Linked DNA regions of Callithrix jacchus. Each later gene encodes a partner of the first gene's protein in a complex. Links are inferred from orthologs where the notes say so. Each region holds a gene or a part of one and is shown in the gene's direction. Other genes may lie near its edges.

Region 1 (4,313 bases):
GCTCAGGCTGGTGTGCGGTGGCAATGACCTAGTCTCTTTGCAGCCTCGACCTCCCGTGCTCAAGCCACCCTTCCACCTCAGCCTCCCAGTTAGCTGAGACTACAGGTGCACGTCACCACACCTGACTAATTTTTGTATTTTTTGTAGAGACTAGGTTTCGCCAAATTGCCCAGGCTGATCTCGAATTCCTAGGTTCAAATGATCCACCCTCCTCTGCCTCCCAAAGTGCTGGGATTACAGGTGTGAGCCACCAAGCCTAGCCTAAAATCTCTTTTAAACAGCAAATAGTTCAAATATCATGTATGCTGTTCTAATCTCTACTAATCTGGTTGACCTCCAGGAAATGAGTTTATATTCATCGGGCATTTACTGCCATATGTCCGGCAGGTATTTCACCAAATCTCATTTATTCCTCACAGCAATCCAACAAGGCATGGATTATCATTTTCCTTCTTCAAATGAGGAAACATATTTAGGATAGAAGTCTCCCAGCTAACAACTGGCAAACCAGTGATCAATCTGCAGCTAGGGTGTCTCCAAACTCGTGCCCCTAGGTGAAGCCAAATATATGTATTTGACCTCTCTGTATTAATGACGAGTAGTTCAGATTTCGGTTTGCTACATACGCAGGAGTGCCAGATACCCAATGCAAATAAGCAACACACAAGTAGTGCAGAATCTGAGCATTTTAGCATTTTTTAGTTGGAAGGAAACTTTCCTTCACACCATTTACCACATACAGGTTCCTTCACAGAGCTCTCAATCAAGCAAATCGAGTCACTCCATTTGCTTCTCTTTCATCTTTGAATGCCCAGAACCCAGAGCCAGAATTTCCACCCAGTTGCAGAAACTGTTCTTTCCCTTTTTAATTCCAGATTTGTACTTTCATAGTTTTGTTTATTTTTTGAGACAGGGTTTCACTCTGTTGCCTAGGCTCGAGTGTAGTGGCACAATCACAGCTCACTCCAGCCTGTCCTCTGGGCTCCATATTTTTGTTAAGTGGCTCCTTGTGCATACCTTTAAAACACCTCCACACTAGCGAAGTGCCCTGGCACAGAGCGTTCAAAAAACAATGAACGCGTAGTGGTTGAAAAAGTCCAAAGAGTAAACTGGTAGCGTGGGGCAGTGGTTCCACTAGTCTAATCCTCTAATTTTGTGCCTTCCTGTGGAAAGTGAAATGTTTAATTTCGTGGCTGTGCTCAGGCAACATCCGACCCTAGCCAGGGTTGGGGCGGACCTCCTCCGGCGGGCTAGGTACGGAGGGCGGGTCAGTGCAGCGCACGCGGTCAGGCCCCTCCCAGCCCGGCAGCAGCGAGCACGGAACGCGCAGTGCTAACTGGGCCTCGGCGCGCACCGTAGCGACTGCCCGAGAAGGCGGGGCTCGGAGTTTACCCCGCCCCCCCCCGCCTCCTGGCTAAAGCGTGAGGCTGCGAGCGGTCTCTCTCTTGGCTGCTTCTCTTGCCTGCTTCTCTTGGCTCCGACGACCTGTAATTATGGGGCAGGAGCCGCGGACGCTGCCGCCCTCTCCCAACTGGTACTGCGCCCGCTGCAGCGATGCCGTGCCCGGGGGCCTCTTTGGCTTCGCCGCGCGGACCTCCGTCTTCCTTGTCCGCGTGGGCCCGGACGCAGGCGAGAGTCCTGGGACACCTCCGTTTCGAGGTAACTCACCATCCTTGGTCCCGAGCCCTCCTGCCCTTTCTACGCTCCCCAGGGGCGCCGAGTGGAGGTCTCCAGCCACCCTATTTTCTACAGTTAGGGAAACTGAGGTCCAGACTGGGCGAAGAGTCAGCCCACAATCCCTAAACTGAGTTGCTTCTGATCCCCAGAATGAGCTACAGCATGCTGTGGCCGAGCGGTCCCGCCTCCTGGAGCTTCCACGTGGGACCGCTTGCTGACTGAAAAGTTAGCCCTGTACAGTCCCGGCCATTTACAGGGTTCCCCCACCCAGCCCGGTGCACGCCAGCCCCTCGGGAGCCTTCCTGAGGTTGGGGGCTGACTACAGCTGCAGGCCCTATGCATGATCCTTCGACATGTGACATTCATTACTGTGAGATGAATGAGTTGAGCCAGATGTTTTCAGGCTCCAAACTAGGCTTTGATTGTGCCTTGGGATATGACGTGTCAGGTAATTTATTCTGGCCAGATCTCAATAAGTGTCGCTATCACATTATTTGAGCTGCTTTCCAGCCTCTGAACTAAGCACAGCAAGGTATATCAACATTCATTTCACAGTTGAGAAGCTGAGGCTCAAAAAGACTTGTTCGAAGTCACGTGGCACAGCCAATAATGTCAGCACTTGGGAGTTCTGATTGTGAGTCCGTCGGTATTTCGGTTATACCATGGGTTAAGTAACTCCAAAGTATCTGCTCACTCATCATCCAACAGCAGTATGCTTCTGCCAGGAATCTTGGATAGCACTTCGATTAATCTAATGTCTGGTTTTACTTGAAGTCATAGGAGAGTTGGTGGGACACACCGAGAGGGTCTCTGGCTTCACATTTTCTCATCACCCTGGTCAGTACAACCTGTGTGCCACCAGCTCCGACGATGGGACTGTTAAAATATGGGACGTAGAGACAAAAACAGTTGTGACAGAACATGCACTCCATCAGGTACCATGGCTTACTGGTTTCTCAGACCGTTTTTGTATGTCTGTGCTGAGGGTTCTTGGGTTTCAAGCTAGTTTTCCTAGCTCATTTGTGCAAGGTAACTTATAATTGTGTTCATTAATTAGATAAGACTATATTGTAAGCTGTCTCAACTTTTTTTGAAAGGAGATACATACAAACCAGAGGTTGGCAAACTTCTCTGTGCCTATTTTTGCAAATAGGTTTTATTAGAGTAGAACCACACTAATTCATTTAAGTATTGTCTATGACTGCTTTAATGCTGTAAGAATTGAGTAGTTGCAACAGGCATGGTATGACCCAAAACGTCTAAAACAGTTACCCTCTGCCAGGCACGATGGCTCACGCCTGTAATCCCAGCACTTTGGGAGGCCTAAGCAGGTGGATCACAAGGTCACAAGTTCAAGACCATCCTGACCAAGATGGTGAAACCCCATCTCTACTAAAGATAGAAAAATTAGCCAGGTGCTGTGGCAAACACCTGTAATCCCAGCTACTCTGGAAACTGAGTCAGGAGAATTGCTTGAACCTGGGCGGCAGAGGTTGCAGTGAGCTGAGATCACACTGCTACACTCCAGCCTGGGTGAGACTCTGTCTCAAAAAACAACAACAACAACAATTACCCTCTGGTTATTGATATAAATAGACTTCTGATAGAGACTGTAAATGAGTGAATTAAACTCATTTCTAAACTAGATAGTTACTTGATATACCTGCCTTTTGAGAGAACAAGGGAAAAGAAAAACTCACTTAATCTTTGTAAGAACTCTGCATTAAGCTATTTAAAAAATGTTATGATTATTTGATCCCCTGTAGTCTAAATCTTCCCACCATTTTGTTAATATCATGTGGCTCTACAAGTACTACTAAGTATTAACTGCTTTTAATGTATGTACATAGCATTACGCTGGGTTGTGATACAAGTTAAAAATTAAGTAAAATGTTAGCATTGACTAACAAATTTTTGTTTTGTTTTAAAGCATACGATATCAACATTACATTGGTCTCCTCGAGTAAAGGACTTAATAGTATCTGGGGATGAAAAAGGGGTAGTTTTCTGTTACTGGCTTAACAGAAATGACAGCCAGCACCTCTTTATAGAACCCAGGACAATTTTCTGTCTTACTTGTTCACCTCATCATGAAGATTTAGTAGCCATTGGGTAAGTACTGTGCCATCTGTACTGAAGATTTTTGTTTGTGTATGATCATGTTTTGCATTTTCTTTACCTTCTCCTGTCCTTTTATTCCTCAAAGAAAACCATCTACAGTTGTTAACCAGTCACCCTGACCCCTTAGCATCATTTATTCCTCCAGGTCCTTACTGACTCTGCCAGTCCGTTTTTGTTTCCTTGGTTTTCCATGGTACTGTACTTTCTTGGTTCTTCATGTCCAACTCCTGTAGTCAACCTTTAAATGTAGGAAGCGTCCTCTTTCACCTTTTTCACTTTCTGTGCTGCCTTTTGATATAACATGAACTCCCAGGTGTCAGATGACTTTGCTCAGTTTGTCTGGTTCTGAGCACTCCGTCTAGATTGGGAAAGCAGTGTGACATTGGGATCCATTTCCCCATTGATCAACAAGGTTGTTTCACAATGATCTACCAGGATGGACATCCCCCTTTCCTTCACCATTTATGTACTTCTCACTGAAAGATGTCCATTTTCTCTAATTTGAAGACTTAAGC
Region 2 (4,566 bases), on another chromosome or scaffold:
AGACTGCAGCTCCAGACAGAGCAGGATACAGAGGTTTGCACTGTGAATTTTAGCTCCAGATTGATTGTAAGAATAAACTAGCAATCCCAAGAGGAACTACAGACCCTCTGAAGGAAGTGGACTGCTCCTTTAGGACCCTGGAGACCCCCAAACACTGTGAGAGCCCCAACTGTGGAAGTGGGAAAAAGAGATCCTCCTCTCCCGACTACACACTCACACTGGAGAAGCTGAAGGTCTGTTTATGGGAGAAGTTTCTGACTTTACCTGGAGCTGAGTCAAGTTAGAGAGCCGAGTGAAATACGGGGTAGAGGAAGCAGCGGAAAGGCCTTGGGAGCTCACTGGGTCCCCAAGCGGCCCATTCCTGCCTGGGACCACAGGGATCCATTGGAAGAGTGGCCAGGGGAGCAGATGGCAAAACTCCACAGGAAGAAGGAATCTGTAGCTGAACTTTGTAACAATGTGAACTGGGCAAGAAGCCTGGCCAGAACTTGGGGGACTGTGCGAATCTGGCTTGCACACTACACAGGCAGGGGAAGAACTAAAGCCCTTTTCTTTTGCAGCTGGGAGGTAGATAGCATCAGGCAAATTTTCAAGCCTGTCTCACCCTCCACCTGGAAACAGACTCCGGGCTGTTGCAGGGTCACAGTGGGAATGAGACCAGCCCTTTGCTTTGCATGGGATCTGAATGAGGCCTGTGACTGGGGGCTTTCTCCTACTTCCCTGACAACCTGCATGATTCAGCAGAGGCAGCCATAATTCTCCTGTATACACAATCCCAGTAGCCTGGGAATCTCACGCCCATTCCCCACAGCACCCGCAACAAGGCTGCCCAAATAGAGTCTGAGCTCAGACACACCTAGCCCTGCCCCTACCTGGTGGTCCTTCCCTATTCACCCTAGTCAACCAAGGAAAAAGTAACTTGAATTTGAACCGCGTTTAAAAGCACATAGTATCGACGCCTACAACACTAGCAACACAAAATTGACACAGCAGGAGATGGCTGGGGAATTTGTTTTTTAAGATAGGGTCTCGCCCTGTTGCTGAGGCCGGAGTGCAGTGGCCGACCGCTCGGGCTCCAGTAATCCTCTCACCCCAGCCTCCCAGGTAGGTGGGACCACAGGTGGCACCACGTCAAGCCCGTATGCAGTCTTTACATAAGACAAATTGCAAAAAATGTTGCTAGACAGTGTTCGCTAGTTTGGGCCGTCGGTGGGAACGGCTCCAGTGTCCGTCTAGATGATCAGATGCCGGGGACAGTCCTCAGCGGGGCTGCTCGGCGGGCACAGAGCAGCCGCTGGCCCATGGGCTTATGGGAGTGGGAACGGCTTTTAACTCGGCCGCGAGCGGGGAAGGCGTTCTGACCCGCTAGAGCTCGGGGCGAGGGACCCTACCCGCTGCCTAGAGCGCCTCTAGGCGCCTGCCGTAGCCGGCGCGGGCCGGTGCTAGCGGTCCGATAAGAACTCAACCGGCTCCTGCACCTCCCTGTACTTCTCGCTGCTTCTTCCAGTCACTTCTACCCCGCGAGTCGGCCCGCCCGCCAATCGTCACTTCCGGCGGGTGCTGCGCATTATTTACGTCGTCACTTCCTGTCGATGCCGGTGTGGACGCTGTGAATCGTGGCTGGGTCGGTTCTCCGCTTCTCCCCGTCCCCTACTTTCCTCCCTCCCTCCCTTTCCCTCCCTCGTCGACGGTCGCTCGCCCGTCGCAGACTCCCGGACCCCACCCTCACCCCTTCCTAACCTCCGTGCCACCGGATTGCCCTCCTTTTCCTGTCTCCCAGCCCAGCCCCAGTGTCAGGGCGGGGGCCTGGAGGAGCCGGAGGCGCTGCAGCAGACGAGAGAAAAAGACAACGACGACCCTCGGCTCTCCAGTCCGGTAGCCGCACTCGCCGCCGCCATGGCAATGAGACAGACGCCGCTCACCTGCTCTGGCCACACGCGGCCCGTAGTTGATTTGGCCTTCAGTGGCATCACGCCTTATGGGTATTTCTTAATCAGCGCTTGCAAAGGTGAGCAAGGCCTCTGATCCTTGTCCCCGATCGCTGGGACTGGGCTGAAAGGGATTGGGACCCGCACGCTCCAGTGCCGAAGCGCGGGGTTGGCGGGGGCGGGGAGGGAACGCTATTAACCTCCGAAGTGAGGGCCAGCACTGGAAGTCCGGTGGAGAAAGCAATGTGTTCGAGAATCCGCAACTGGAGCCGAGAGACCTCTGGACGCTTTTGTAGAGACTGTTACCTCCAACTAAGACCCCTCTCGTTGTTTTCTTTTTATTGCTATTTTTGGAGGAGCTGGACAGCACTTGCCTGCACTCTCGGGACAACGTTGTAAATAGCTTTCAAGGATTTGGGGAAAGGAGAAATTAGGCCAGGCCGTGAAATACTTAACAAAGACGTTCGCTCTTGTCTCACTGGATATTCCTTTGTGGCATTAGCCTTATTTTTCAGATGGGAAACTGAGATTTAGGCTAAGGTGTTTGTCCAAATTAAGAGTCAAATCTAGATTGTTTTGACGCAGATCAGCATTCCCACCGAATTACAGATGCTTTTCAGAGAGAATGGTCTGTTCGGCTCTCAGTTAATTTATTTCTGGACGTTCCTTGGTGACTTCAATGGGCGGTTAAATAGTTGAAACGATTTTTCCACTTTGTCATTGAACATCATTGTATATTTACATTTGCATCTTAGACTTTAATCTGAACTTTAAATCACATGTCTTAAAAAATATTTTCTAGATGGTAAACCTATGCTACGCCAGGGAGATACAGGAGACTGGATTGGAACGTTTTTGGGTCATAAAGGTGCTGTTTGGGGTGCAACACTGAATAAGGATGCCAGCAAAGCAGCTACAGCAGCTGCGGATTTCACAGCGTAAGTGTAGCCAAGATGGCTAACGTCGGTGTTCTCTGTAGATTGTGTCCAGAAATAATGAAAAAGTTCAACCTCAGATATTCATAGAATTCTGAATCACTGGCTGCTATGTAGAATGCCAGATGTTTGAGCTCACCAAAATTCCACTGTGGTCCTGTGTGCTTGTTTTCAGTGGTTCTCAAAATTTTCAGAGGCTTAAATGACTTATTCCTTATGTTTTGATTAAGACTCAGGAGCCTGCATGAACAAACACTCCAGATGATGAATATTGATCTCCTTTACGAATGCTGCTCTGTGTGTACTCCTTAGTGAAATCCTACATGGGTGGCCTTAGGTTTTTATCTCAATCCCAGTTTTTGTTAGCTTGCTTTAGGCATCACTAACACTCATTGTGTCAAACAAACAAAAACAAAAAAACTCAACTTCTCTTCATTTCCTAAGTTTTTGAAGGTTGAAATGTAAAACATTCTTGATTTTCCCTTACATCTAGATTATCATCATCTTTTTTTGATTCTGCCACTGGGATGTCTCCTGATTACAGTGTTCCTCCATGTAGTATCTGCTGCTGCCTTAGTTCACAATCATTTTTAACTTTCTTCCAGTAGTTTCTTTTCCTCCTCTTCATATTCCATATTGTTGTCAGTTGTTTTCCTAAAAACATGTTTGATCATGTCACTTCTCTGCCTAATGATTTTCCTGTCTTCCCTTTGCCATTTTAGTATTTTGTGACCTTTGATATACATTAGAATACCAGGAGAGCTTTTCAAATATTCAAATGTATGTGTCCCAGAAACTCGGATTTAAAATTTTTTTTGGGTTTTTACTCTCTCTCTATATATATACTTTTTGCTACATGTAAAAATACTTTTTAATGCTTTTTACTGTATAGACACTAGCTGTGTTTCCCAGGCTGTCTTAAAACTCTTGGCCTCCATGCCTCAGCCTCTCAAAGAACTGGGGTTACGGGGTGAACTGCCATGCCTGGCACAGACCTTCTGGTTTGATTGGTCTGAGGATGGAGTACTGATCATACTGATCAGTGGTGGTTTTTTTTCTTGCCTTTCTTTCCTGTGTGCAGCCTTAGAAGCACGGACCTGAAGGACACTTCAGTTGTTGACACTTTACAGTTCGCTTCATCCTAGTTCTTCAGCATCATCTTCTGGCCCTGCACACCATAAACCCTACAATCTAATTATACTACACTTACTGTTGCCAGAATATACCTTACCTGTGCTGACTTTTGACTGTTAATGATGTTACTAAACTGACTGGCAGTGGCCCTCTTTGCCTTTTTGGGAATGTATAATGTTTTATAAATCTTGTTATTTCCAGTTCCTACCTGGTATTTGTAACTTAGGAATTTGACACTTGATTGTTTAAACTGATGAAGGCAATATCAAGAGCTGTTGTACATACACAGATTTATTAGACTTAAGAGGCTGGAGAGTACAAGTATTATTGGTTATTTATTATTTATTATTTATTTATTTCATTTATTATTTTTGAAACAGAGTCTTGCTCTGTGCCCAGGCTGGAGTGCAGTGGCGCAATCTCGGCTCACTGCAATCTCTGCCTCCCAGGTTCAAATGATTCTCCTGCCTGAGCCTCCTAAGTAGCTGGTTCTACAGGTGCATGCCACCATGTGTGGCTAGTTTTTGTATTTTCAGTAGAGACGGGGTTTTGCCATGTTGGCCAGGCTG
Region 3 (4,426 bases), on another chromosome or scaffold:
GTTCATTTTGGCTCTGTTTCCAATAGCAAAGACCTGGAACCAATCCAAATGCCCATCAGTGATAGACTGGACAAGGAAAATGTGGCACATATGCACCATGGAATACTATGCAGCCATAAAAAAGATGAGTTCCTGTCCTTTGTAGGGACATGGATGAATGTGGAAACCATCGTTCTCAGCAAACTGACACAAGAATAGAAAATCAAACACCGCATGTTCTCACTCATAGGCTGATGTTGAACAATGAGAACACATAGACACAGGGAGGGGTGCATCACACACTGGGGTCTGTTGGGGGGGAATAAGGGAGGGACAGGGGAGGGGAAGGAGTTGGGAGGGATAACATGGGAGAAATGCCAGATATAGGTGATGGGGGATGGAGGCAGCAAACCACATTGCCTTGTATGTACCTGTGCAACAATCCTGCATGTTCTGCACGTGTACCCCAGAACCTAAAGTGCAATAAAATATATATATATATAATTTTTAAAAAAAGCTAAGGACTATCCTGTTTAATTTTTTTATCTTCAACTTAAACTTACATCCTTGTTTGAAATCGATTCCTTGCAACCTAAAAACAGTGCTAAAATATAAACAAATTTTTTTAAAAACCTTCGAAAAGAAATATAAATTTTAGAAAAGTCAATTGTATTCACTCAATTGTATTTGTTTAGAAATAATCAGATATAATACTTGTTTCTTGCACATTCTTGCCCTGTTTCCTCACCTGTGAAATGGAGATGATACTATCTACCTAACAAGATTGACCTAACATTTTTGTTAATTTCTGTATGTTAGCATTAGCTTCATATTTTTCACTATTTGTATTTAAACGAAGATATTTTTCTTCAAAAAAAATAAAAAGTGCTGGCTATTCTAGGAGTAATACTCATTCCAAATAAACATACAGTGATCTTTGAAGTGGTCAAGCACTAGATATTCCTGTAGAAAATTAATTTTTCTTTCATTTGGCATCGGATAAGCGTATGTTGGAATTGGTGTCTTCCCCTTTGGGAGAAGCTCAGTCCCTCCCCTAACAGAGTATTACTCCCCACTTTACAAGATTGTTTTAAGAATCAAGTGAGAAAATGTGTGTGTTTATGTCGGGGTTAAGAATTTAGAGCTCCAAGAATGATAATTACAGTAATACTGTTCATTAATTCAAAAACCATTTTTAAGGATCCTTCACTACTAAGGATGCATAAAAGTTGCTAACCCTCGGCCTTTGCCCAGCGTGAGAAGACAAAACAGGGAGTAAAAGACCAGAAACGCGTTCGAACCAATTCAGCTAGGAATTAAATTCTCAGATCCTTTATTACACCACCGGAGCCTTAACCTTGAGGCAAGCAGCAGTCTGTTCATGCGCAGTTAACGCTCCCTAAACTGCCATTGCTCAGCTCCGCGCCCAAGGTTCCTACTTGTGCGCCTGCGCCGTGACCTAGAGTGGGCGCATGCGCTGAGTGGAGCTGGCTGGTTTGAAAACCATGGCGTGGGTACCAGCCGAGTCCGCTGTGGAAGAGTTGATGCCTCGGCTATTACCGGTAGAGCCCTGCGACTTGACGGAAGCTTTCGATCCCTCGGTACCCCCGAGGACGCCTCAGGAATACCTGAGGCGGGTCCAGTGAGTGATTTGGCCCTGGGCGGGTGGGCTGGTCGTCTGCCCTGCCCCGGGGTACAGCCCCTGGTGCCCCTCTCGACCTGCGTTCTATAAAGTCCTGTTTCTTCCCGTTCCAGTCTCTTGCGAGTTCGGGTCTGTTCAGGATTCTGGATTACATTCTTACGTGGGCGAGTTTCTGTTTAACATGATTGAATGTACCAAGATGTGTGATCTTAGATTTGTTTTCAATCCAGATAATTTCAGAAATATATTCTTTAGTACGTCAAGTGGAAGTCTGAATTTTTTTTTTTAATTTCACAATCAACTATGGAAATGGATCGCTCGTTTTACTACACCTGAGCAAAGCACAATAGAAATTTAATTTCTTGCATTTATTACTTATTTGTAGGATCGAAGCAGCTCAGTGTCCAGATGTTGTGGTAGCTCAAATTGACCCAAAGAAGTTGAAAAGGAAGCAAAGTGTGAATATTTCTGTGAGTTATTAACCGTCTGGAGATTACCCCCAACCCCTCAATTAAAAGACTAAGGCTCTTCCTATAGTATCCGACAGTATCAATTATGGTGTAAGTAAGATTTGACTACTCCCTTCAAAGATAGACATTCGCTTGTACTTTTTCCTCCAGAAAGGCAACTGGCATTTACAGCCTCTGAAGAGGTTTTCTGTAACTCTAGCATTTGTGGAGCTTGCCCATCTTTCTTCAGGGACACTATCCAATCCTTTCAAAGGAGTCTTTAAATGGGTTACTTAGGCTATCTTCTATTTTTTCTTGTTTGTTTATAGAGAGGGAGTCTCTGTTGCCAGCTGGTCTGGAACTCCTGGCCTCAGGCTGTCTTCCCGCTTCTGCCTCCCAAAGTGTTAGGATTACAGGCTTCAGCCACTGTGCCTGACCCCTTTATTTATTTATTTTTTGAGACAGAGTCTTGCTCTGTCACCCAGGCTGGAGTGCAGCAGCAGGATCTCGGCTTACTGCAAACTCCTCCTCCCAGGTTCAAGCTATCCTCTTGCCTCAGCTTCCCAAGTAACTGGGATTACAGGTGCCTGCCACTACGCCTGGCTAATTTTTGTATTTTTAGTAGAGATGGAGTTTCACCATGTTGGCTAGGCTGGAACTCCTGAACTCAGGTGATCTGCCCACCTCGGCCTCACAAAGTGCTGGGATTACAGGCGTGAGCCACCGCACTGGGCCCTCCTTTTTTTTTTTTCCTAAGGAATCTTTTTCCAGTTACTAGATTGGTGTTTAATCCTATTGTGCTTTGTGTGTTCTGAATTTGATAAAGTTCCACTTTTTGTCAAAATAGAAACTCAGATATCTTACACTTTTACAGCTACTTGCACACTGTGGACATTTTCGTTTATTTATTTATCCAGCACATTTTTAATTAAGGGACTACGTTGTGCCAGGCACTGGGAATGTAACAGAGGATAAGATAAAAAAGGATCCTACCCTTGTAGACAGAGAGTAAACAGGCAAACAAATAATTACATGTTGTGACTATTGCTATGAAGAAAATAAGCATATGTAATAATCAATAAATGACAGAACTACTGTAGATAGAGGAATCACAGAAGGTCTTTCTTCCCTCCCCCCCCCCTTTTTTTTTGAGTCTTGCTTTTTCGCCCAGGCTGGAATGCAGTGGTGTGATCTTGGCTCACTGCAACCTCCACCTCCCGGGTTCAAGAGAGTCTCCTGCCTCAGCCTCCTGAGTAGCTGGGATTACAGGTGTGTGCTACCACACCTAGCTAATTTTTGTATTTTTAGTGGAGATGGGGTTTTACCATGTTGGCCAGGCTGGTCTTGAACTCCTGACCTCAAGTGATCTGCCTGCTTCAGCCTCCTAACGTGTTGGGATTACAGGCGTGAGCCACCACGCCTGGCCAGCGAAGGTCTCTCTAAGGAGGTGCTATTTAACCTAAGCTTAAAGGAGGTGGCATTTTAAATTGTTGATAGTAATTTCCTTTTCATGTTGAAAGTAATTTCTCTATCTGATATTTATAATCAGAAAATTTTAATTCAGACACTATAATGTTTCCTGTAATTCCTCTTCAGGATTTTTTAGTTGATTGATTTATTTTTTTGAGACAGAGTCTTGCTCTGTCACCCAGGCTGAAGTACAGTGGCACGGTCTCGGCTCATTAGTTGATAGACATTTAATGGAACAGAATGTCTTATATACCTAATTTGATAGATGGATGGATTGATTGAAACGGTATGTCTCTCTTTTTGTTTCTGTTTGATATTCTAGAAAGGCAGGTAGGACTAGATCATATCCTCTGGGCTAACGTCATTTAGATTTCATAGAAACTCCAAGTATAGGGCCGGGCGCGGTGGCTCAAGCATGTAATCCCAGCACTTTGGGAGGCCGAGGCGGGTGGATCACGAGGTCAAGAGATTGAGACCATCCTGGTCAACATGGTGAAACCCCGCCTCTACTAAAAATATAAAAAATTAGCTGGGCATGGTGGTGCGTGCCTGTAATCCCAGCTACTCAGGAGGCTGAGGCAGGAGAATTGCCTGAACCCAGGAGGTGGAGGGTGCGGTGAGCCGAGATCGTGCCATTGCACTCCAGCCTGGGTAACAAGAGTGAAACTCTGTCTCAAAAAAAAAGAAACTCCAAGTATAAGCCTTTCCAGATTTCTCTTATTAAATTGACTAAGGCTCTTTCCCTAATGTTTTTAACTGGGATATAAATAAATAGAAAAGTGAAATGTCTACTTTTTTACATCTGTAAGAAATATTTTCTTTCTTTCTTTTTTTTTTTTTTTTGCAACGGAATTTTGCTCTTGTTGCCCAGGCTGCGTGAAGTGGC
Region 4 (4,296 bases), on another chromosome or scaffold:
AACATCTGTGCCTTGATAGCCAAAATCAAGCTTGTCTCTTCTCAAACCTGTTCCGATTCTCCTCCTTCCCTGTATGTGACGCCACCCGGGGTCCTCCCAGTTCCCACTCTAGAGAGCTTGGAAGTCATTCTGGATTCCTCAGCTCAGTCCTGCCTCCAGCCCTGCAGTGGCTCTGGTGGCCATCCCTTCTTCTCCCCTTCGTGGATGTCTAAAACCCTCATCATCTCTAACCCTGACAGCCTCCTAACTGCAGTGACTGTCTTGAGACGTTCGCATTATACTGTCTTACTTGGCTTCTCTGTGCAGGACCCTTGAACATCTGTGAGGAAATGACTATTCTGCACGGAGGCTTCCTGTTGGCTGAGCAGCTGTTCCACCCCAGAGCTCTGACAGAACTGACCAAGTCTGACTGGGAGCACGTTGGGCGGCCCATTGTGGAGGCCTTGCAGGAGATCTCCTCCGCAGCAGCGCATTCCCAGCCCTTTGCCTGGAAGAAGAAAGCTCTGATCATCATCTGGGCCAAGGTTCTGCAGCCTCAGCCTGTGACCTCTTCTGACACGGACACTCGGTGGCAGGAAGATGTGTTCTTCTCAGTGGGCAATATGATCCCCACCCTCAATCACACCGTCCTGTTTGAGCTGCTCAAGTCCCTAGAAGCTTCTGGACTCTTTATCGAGCTCCTGATGGCCCTGCCTGCCATTGTCTGCTGTGCAGAACTCGAGCGCTTTTTGGAGCACGTGAGCATTGACACGTCCTCTGAGGACGTGGCCTTCTTCCTGGATGTCTGGTGGGAAATGATGAAGCACCGGGGTAATCCACAGGATCCCCTGCTCTCCCAGTTCAGCGCAATGGTCCATAAGTACTTGCCTGTCTTAGAAGAGTTCCCCCATCCTCCCAAGAGGCTGAGGTCAGAGCCAGACGTGTGCCCCACCATGCTTCTGTTGGCCATGCTGCTTCGTGGGCTGATGCAGATCCAGGGTCGGATCCTGGGCCCAGGGAGAAAGTGCTGTGCACTGGCCAACCTGGCCGACATGCTGAGCGTGTTTGCACTGACCGAGGACGACCCCCAGGAGGTGTCTGCAACTGTGTATCTGGACAAACTGGCCACAGTGATCTCTGTGTGGAACTCAGACACCCAGAACCTGTACCACCACCAGGCACTGGCAGAGAAGGTCAAGGAGGCAGAACGGGATGTCAGCCTGACCTCACTGGCCAAACTCCCCAGTGAGACGATTTTTGCCGGCTTGGAATTGATGCACGCCCTGCTGGGGGAGTGGGGGGAGGAGCTGCAAGCCATGCTCTGCAGCAGCCAGGGCACAAGCTATGACAGCTACCGGCTGTGCGACAGTCTGACTTCCTTCAGCCAGAACCTGGCGCTCTACTTGAACCGCGCCAGCCTGCCCGAGGAGGAGAGGCAGGTGGCCTCTGAGCTGGCAGTGTGTGTCAGGGACTTCCTGAGGAAAACCAGCAGGGTACTGAAGAACAGGGGCTCCCAGGACATCACGGCTTCCATTGCCATGGCCATCATCCAGCAGAAGATGAACCGTCACATGGAAATGTGCTACATTTTTGCTTCTGAGAAGAAGTGGGCTTTCTCAGACGAGTGGGTAGCCTGCCTGGTGAGTAACAGGGCTCTCTTCAGGGAGCCAGATTTGGTGTTGAGGCTGCTGGAAACAGTGCTAGGTGCCAGCACCACTGACAGAGCAGTCCCCGAGCCTCAGATCCAGCAAGTGCTCCACTTGGTCCTGGAATGTTACACAGACCTCTCCCTGCCAGACAAAAACAAAGTCCTTGCAGGCATCCTGCATTCCTGGGGGAAAAGGGGCCTATCTGAAACGTTGCTGACCTATGTGGAGAGTTTTCCGGAAGACCTCAATACAACCTTAAACAAGCTCGCTCAGAGTGCCTCCGAGCAGGGCTTGGCAAAAGCTGTGGCCTCCGTGGCCCGCCTGATGATAGTGCACCCGGAAGCCACAGTGAAGAAAATCTGCAGCCTGGCTGTGGTCAATCTTGGCACCCACAAGTTCCTGGCCCAGATTCTCACAGCCTTCCCCGCTCTTCGGTTCATAGAAGAGCAGGGTCCAAATTCATCTACCACTTTCATGGTGTCGTGCCTCAGAGAAACTGTCTGGGCAAAGTTCTCTACACCCAAGGAGGAAAAGCAATTTTTGGAGCTCCTGAACTGCCTGATGAATCCTGTGAAGCCCCAGGGGATTCCAGTGGCTGCTCTGCTTGAGCCAGATGAGGTGCTGAAGGAATTTGTCCTGTCATTCTTGATGTTAGATATTGAAGAGGTGGACCTCAGTCTGAAGATCTTCCTCCAGACTCTAGAAGCAAATGCATGCCTGGAGGAATACTGGCTCCAGGCCTGCTCCCCATTCCCACTCCTCTTCAGCTTGTGCCAGCTCCTGGACAGCTTCAGCAAGTACTGGCAGCTCCCTAAGGAGAAGCGGCGTTTGTCTTTGGAGAGGAAGGATCTGGCGGCCCATATCCTGGAGCTCCTGTGTGAGATTTTATTAGCCAATGCCGAGACCTTCTCCCCAGACGCCTGGATCAAGTCCGTGTCCTGGCTCCACCGCAAGTCAGAAGAGCTTGACTGGACTGTGGGCCTCAGACTGAAGACCTTTTTTGAAGGACACTTCAAGTGTGAGGTGCCAGCCACACTTTTTGAGATCTGTAAGCTTTCTGAGGATGAGTGGACCTCCCAGGCCCACCAAGGGTATGGGCCAGGCACAGGGCTCCTGGCCTGGATGGAGTGCTCCTGCATCTCCAGCACCCTCTCAGAGAGGATGCTGTCTCTGTTGGTGGTCAACGTGGGTAGTCCTGAGGAGGTCAGGTTGTTCAGCAAAGGATTTCTGGTGGCCCTGGTGCAAGTCATGCCTTGGTGCAGCCCTCAGGAGTGGCAACACCTTCAGCAGTTGACCAGGAGGCTGCTGGAGAAACAGCTGCTCCATGTCCCATATAGCCTGGAGTATATTCAGTTTGTTCCTCTGCTCAACCTGAAGCCCTTCGCCCAGGAGCTCCAGCTCTCTGTACTCTTCCTGAGGGCTTTCCAGTTTCTCTGTAGCCAGAGTTGTCAAAATTGGCTTCCTCTGGAAGGCTGGAACCATGTGGTCAGACTCCTGTGTGGCAGTCTGACCAGCCTCCTGGACTCAGTCAGGTTGATACAGTCAGTTGGCCCTTGGGCGCAGGGACAAGAGCAGGACCTGACCCAGGAAGCTCTGTTTGTCTACACCCAGGTGTTCTGTCATGCTCTGCACATCATGGCCATGCTCCGCCAGGAGGTCTGTGAGCCACTGTATATTTTAGCCTTGGAAACTCTCACTTGCTATGAGACTCTGAGCAAGGCCAACCCTTCTGTCAGCTCCTTGCTCCAGAAGGTGAACGAGCAGCACTTCCTGAAGTCCATTGCTGAGAACATCAGCCCCGAAGGGCGGCGTCAGACCCTGCTGCAAAAGATCAGCAGCTTCTGACGTTGGCCCATAGCAGAAAAGCTGGGTCTAAATATGGCAGATCCATAGGGGTCAGACCTGCACAGCATGGACTTTACAGCTGCGTTAAACTGTCCACAGGAAATCATGGCAATAATGGTATAAAGAAAATAATTTCTTAGGTACATTTATAATGTACAAACTATAATAAACATTCTCTTTTGCATCTCTCTTTGTCTAAGTCTGCTGCAGCAATAGCCCAGGATTGATTATGTATGCTCTGAAATTGAATTTAGTGTCTTCGAGATTCAATTCAGCCCAGAGGAACATGTTCATAACTGGACTTTTCCTTTTTTTTCTTTTTTTTTGAGACGGAGTCATGCTCTGTTGCCAGGTGCCAAGCTGGAGTGCAGTGGCGCAATCTTGGCTCACTGCAACCTCCGCCTCCTGGGTTCAAGCAATTCTCCTGCCTCAGCCTCCTGAGTAGTTGGGATTATAGGCGCGCACCACCACGACCAGCTAATTTTTGTATTTTTAGTAGAGATGGGGTTTCACCATGTTGGCCAGGATGGTCTCGATCTCTTGATCTTGTGATCCACCCATCTCGGCCTCCCAAAGTGCTCGGATTACACGGTCTTGATCTCTTAACCCCGTGATCCACCCGCCTTGGCCTCCCAAAGTGCTGGGATTACAGGCATGAGCCACCGCACCTGGCCATAACTTGACTTTTCCATCCTTGATTTTGGCAAATAAGCTGAAAGTTAAAACTATCGGAGTTGAAAAAGAATGACAGGGTCTGTGCAACCCCCTTTAAGAGCTATTTTGTATTTTACTGTTTTTTTCATGAGGTCTCTTGGAAAGGACA

The links.
Region 2: GEMIN5 (region 1) and STRAP share a complex: the UniProt entries of both Homo sapiens proteins name them as parts of the SMN-Sm complex. The link is inferred for Callithrix jacchus from reciprocal best matches to the Homo sapiens genes GEMIN5 and STRAP.
Region 3: GEMIN5 (region 1) and GEMIN2 share a complex: the UniProt entries of both Homo sapiens proteins name them as parts of the SMN-Sm complex. The link is inferred for Callithrix jacchus from reciprocal best matches to the Homo sapiens genes GEMIN5 and GEMIN2.
Region 4: GEMIN5 (region 1) and GEMIN4 share a complex: the UniProt entries of both Homo sapiens proteins name them as parts of the SMN-Sm complex. The link is inferred for Callithrix jacchus from reciprocal best matches to the Homo sapiens genes GEMIN5 and GEMIN4.

Annotation. Positions count from the first base shown.
Region 1 is NC_133503.1:54,148,235-54,152,547, reverse strand, and holds the start of GEMIN5 (gem-associated protein 5), read left to right. Parts: upstream 1-1,383; 5' UTR 1,384-1,493; coding exon 1,494-1,659; intron 1,660-2,451; coding exon 2,452-2,612; intron 2,613-3,607; coding exon 3,608-3,789; intron 3,790-4,313. UniProt on the Homo sapiens protein: The SMN complex catalyzes the assembly of small nuclear ribonucleoproteins (snRNPs), the building blocks of the spliceosome, and thereby plays an important role in the splicing of cellular pre-mRNAs.
Region 2 is NC_133510.1:7,425,032-7,429,597, reverse strand, and holds the start of STRAP (serine-threonine kinase receptor-associated protein), read left to right. Parts: upstream 1-1,575; 5' UTR 1,576-1,896; coding exon 1,897-2,008; intron 2,009-2,730; coding exon 2,731-2,866; intron 2,867-4,566. UniProt on the Homo sapiens protein: The SMN complex catalyzes the assembly of small nuclear ribonucleoproteins (snRNPs), the building blocks of the spliceosome, and thereby plays an important role in the splicing of cellular pre-mRNAs.
Region 3 is NC_133509.1:73,778,715-73,783,140, forward strand, and holds the start of GEMIN2 (gem-associated protein 2), read left to right. Parts: upstream 1-1,468; 5' UTR 1,469-1,484; coding exon 1,485-1,621; intron 1,622-2,006; coding exon 2,007-2,091; intron 2,092-4,426. UniProt on the Homo sapiens protein: The SMN complex catalyzes the assembly of small nuclear ribonucleoproteins (snRNPs), the building blocks of the spliceosome, and thereby plays an important role in the splicing of cellular pre-mRNAs.
Region 4 is NC_133506.1:63,634,302-63,638,597, forward strand, and holds the end of GEMIN4 (gem-associated protein 4), read left to right. Parts: exon of another isoform or gene 1-306; coding exon 307-3,473; 3' UTR 3,474-3,657; downstream 3,658-4,296. UniProt on the Homo sapiens protein: The SMN complex catalyzes the assembly of small nuclear ribonucleoproteins (snRNPs), the building blocks of the spliceosome, and thereby plays an important role in the splicing of cellular pre-mRNAs.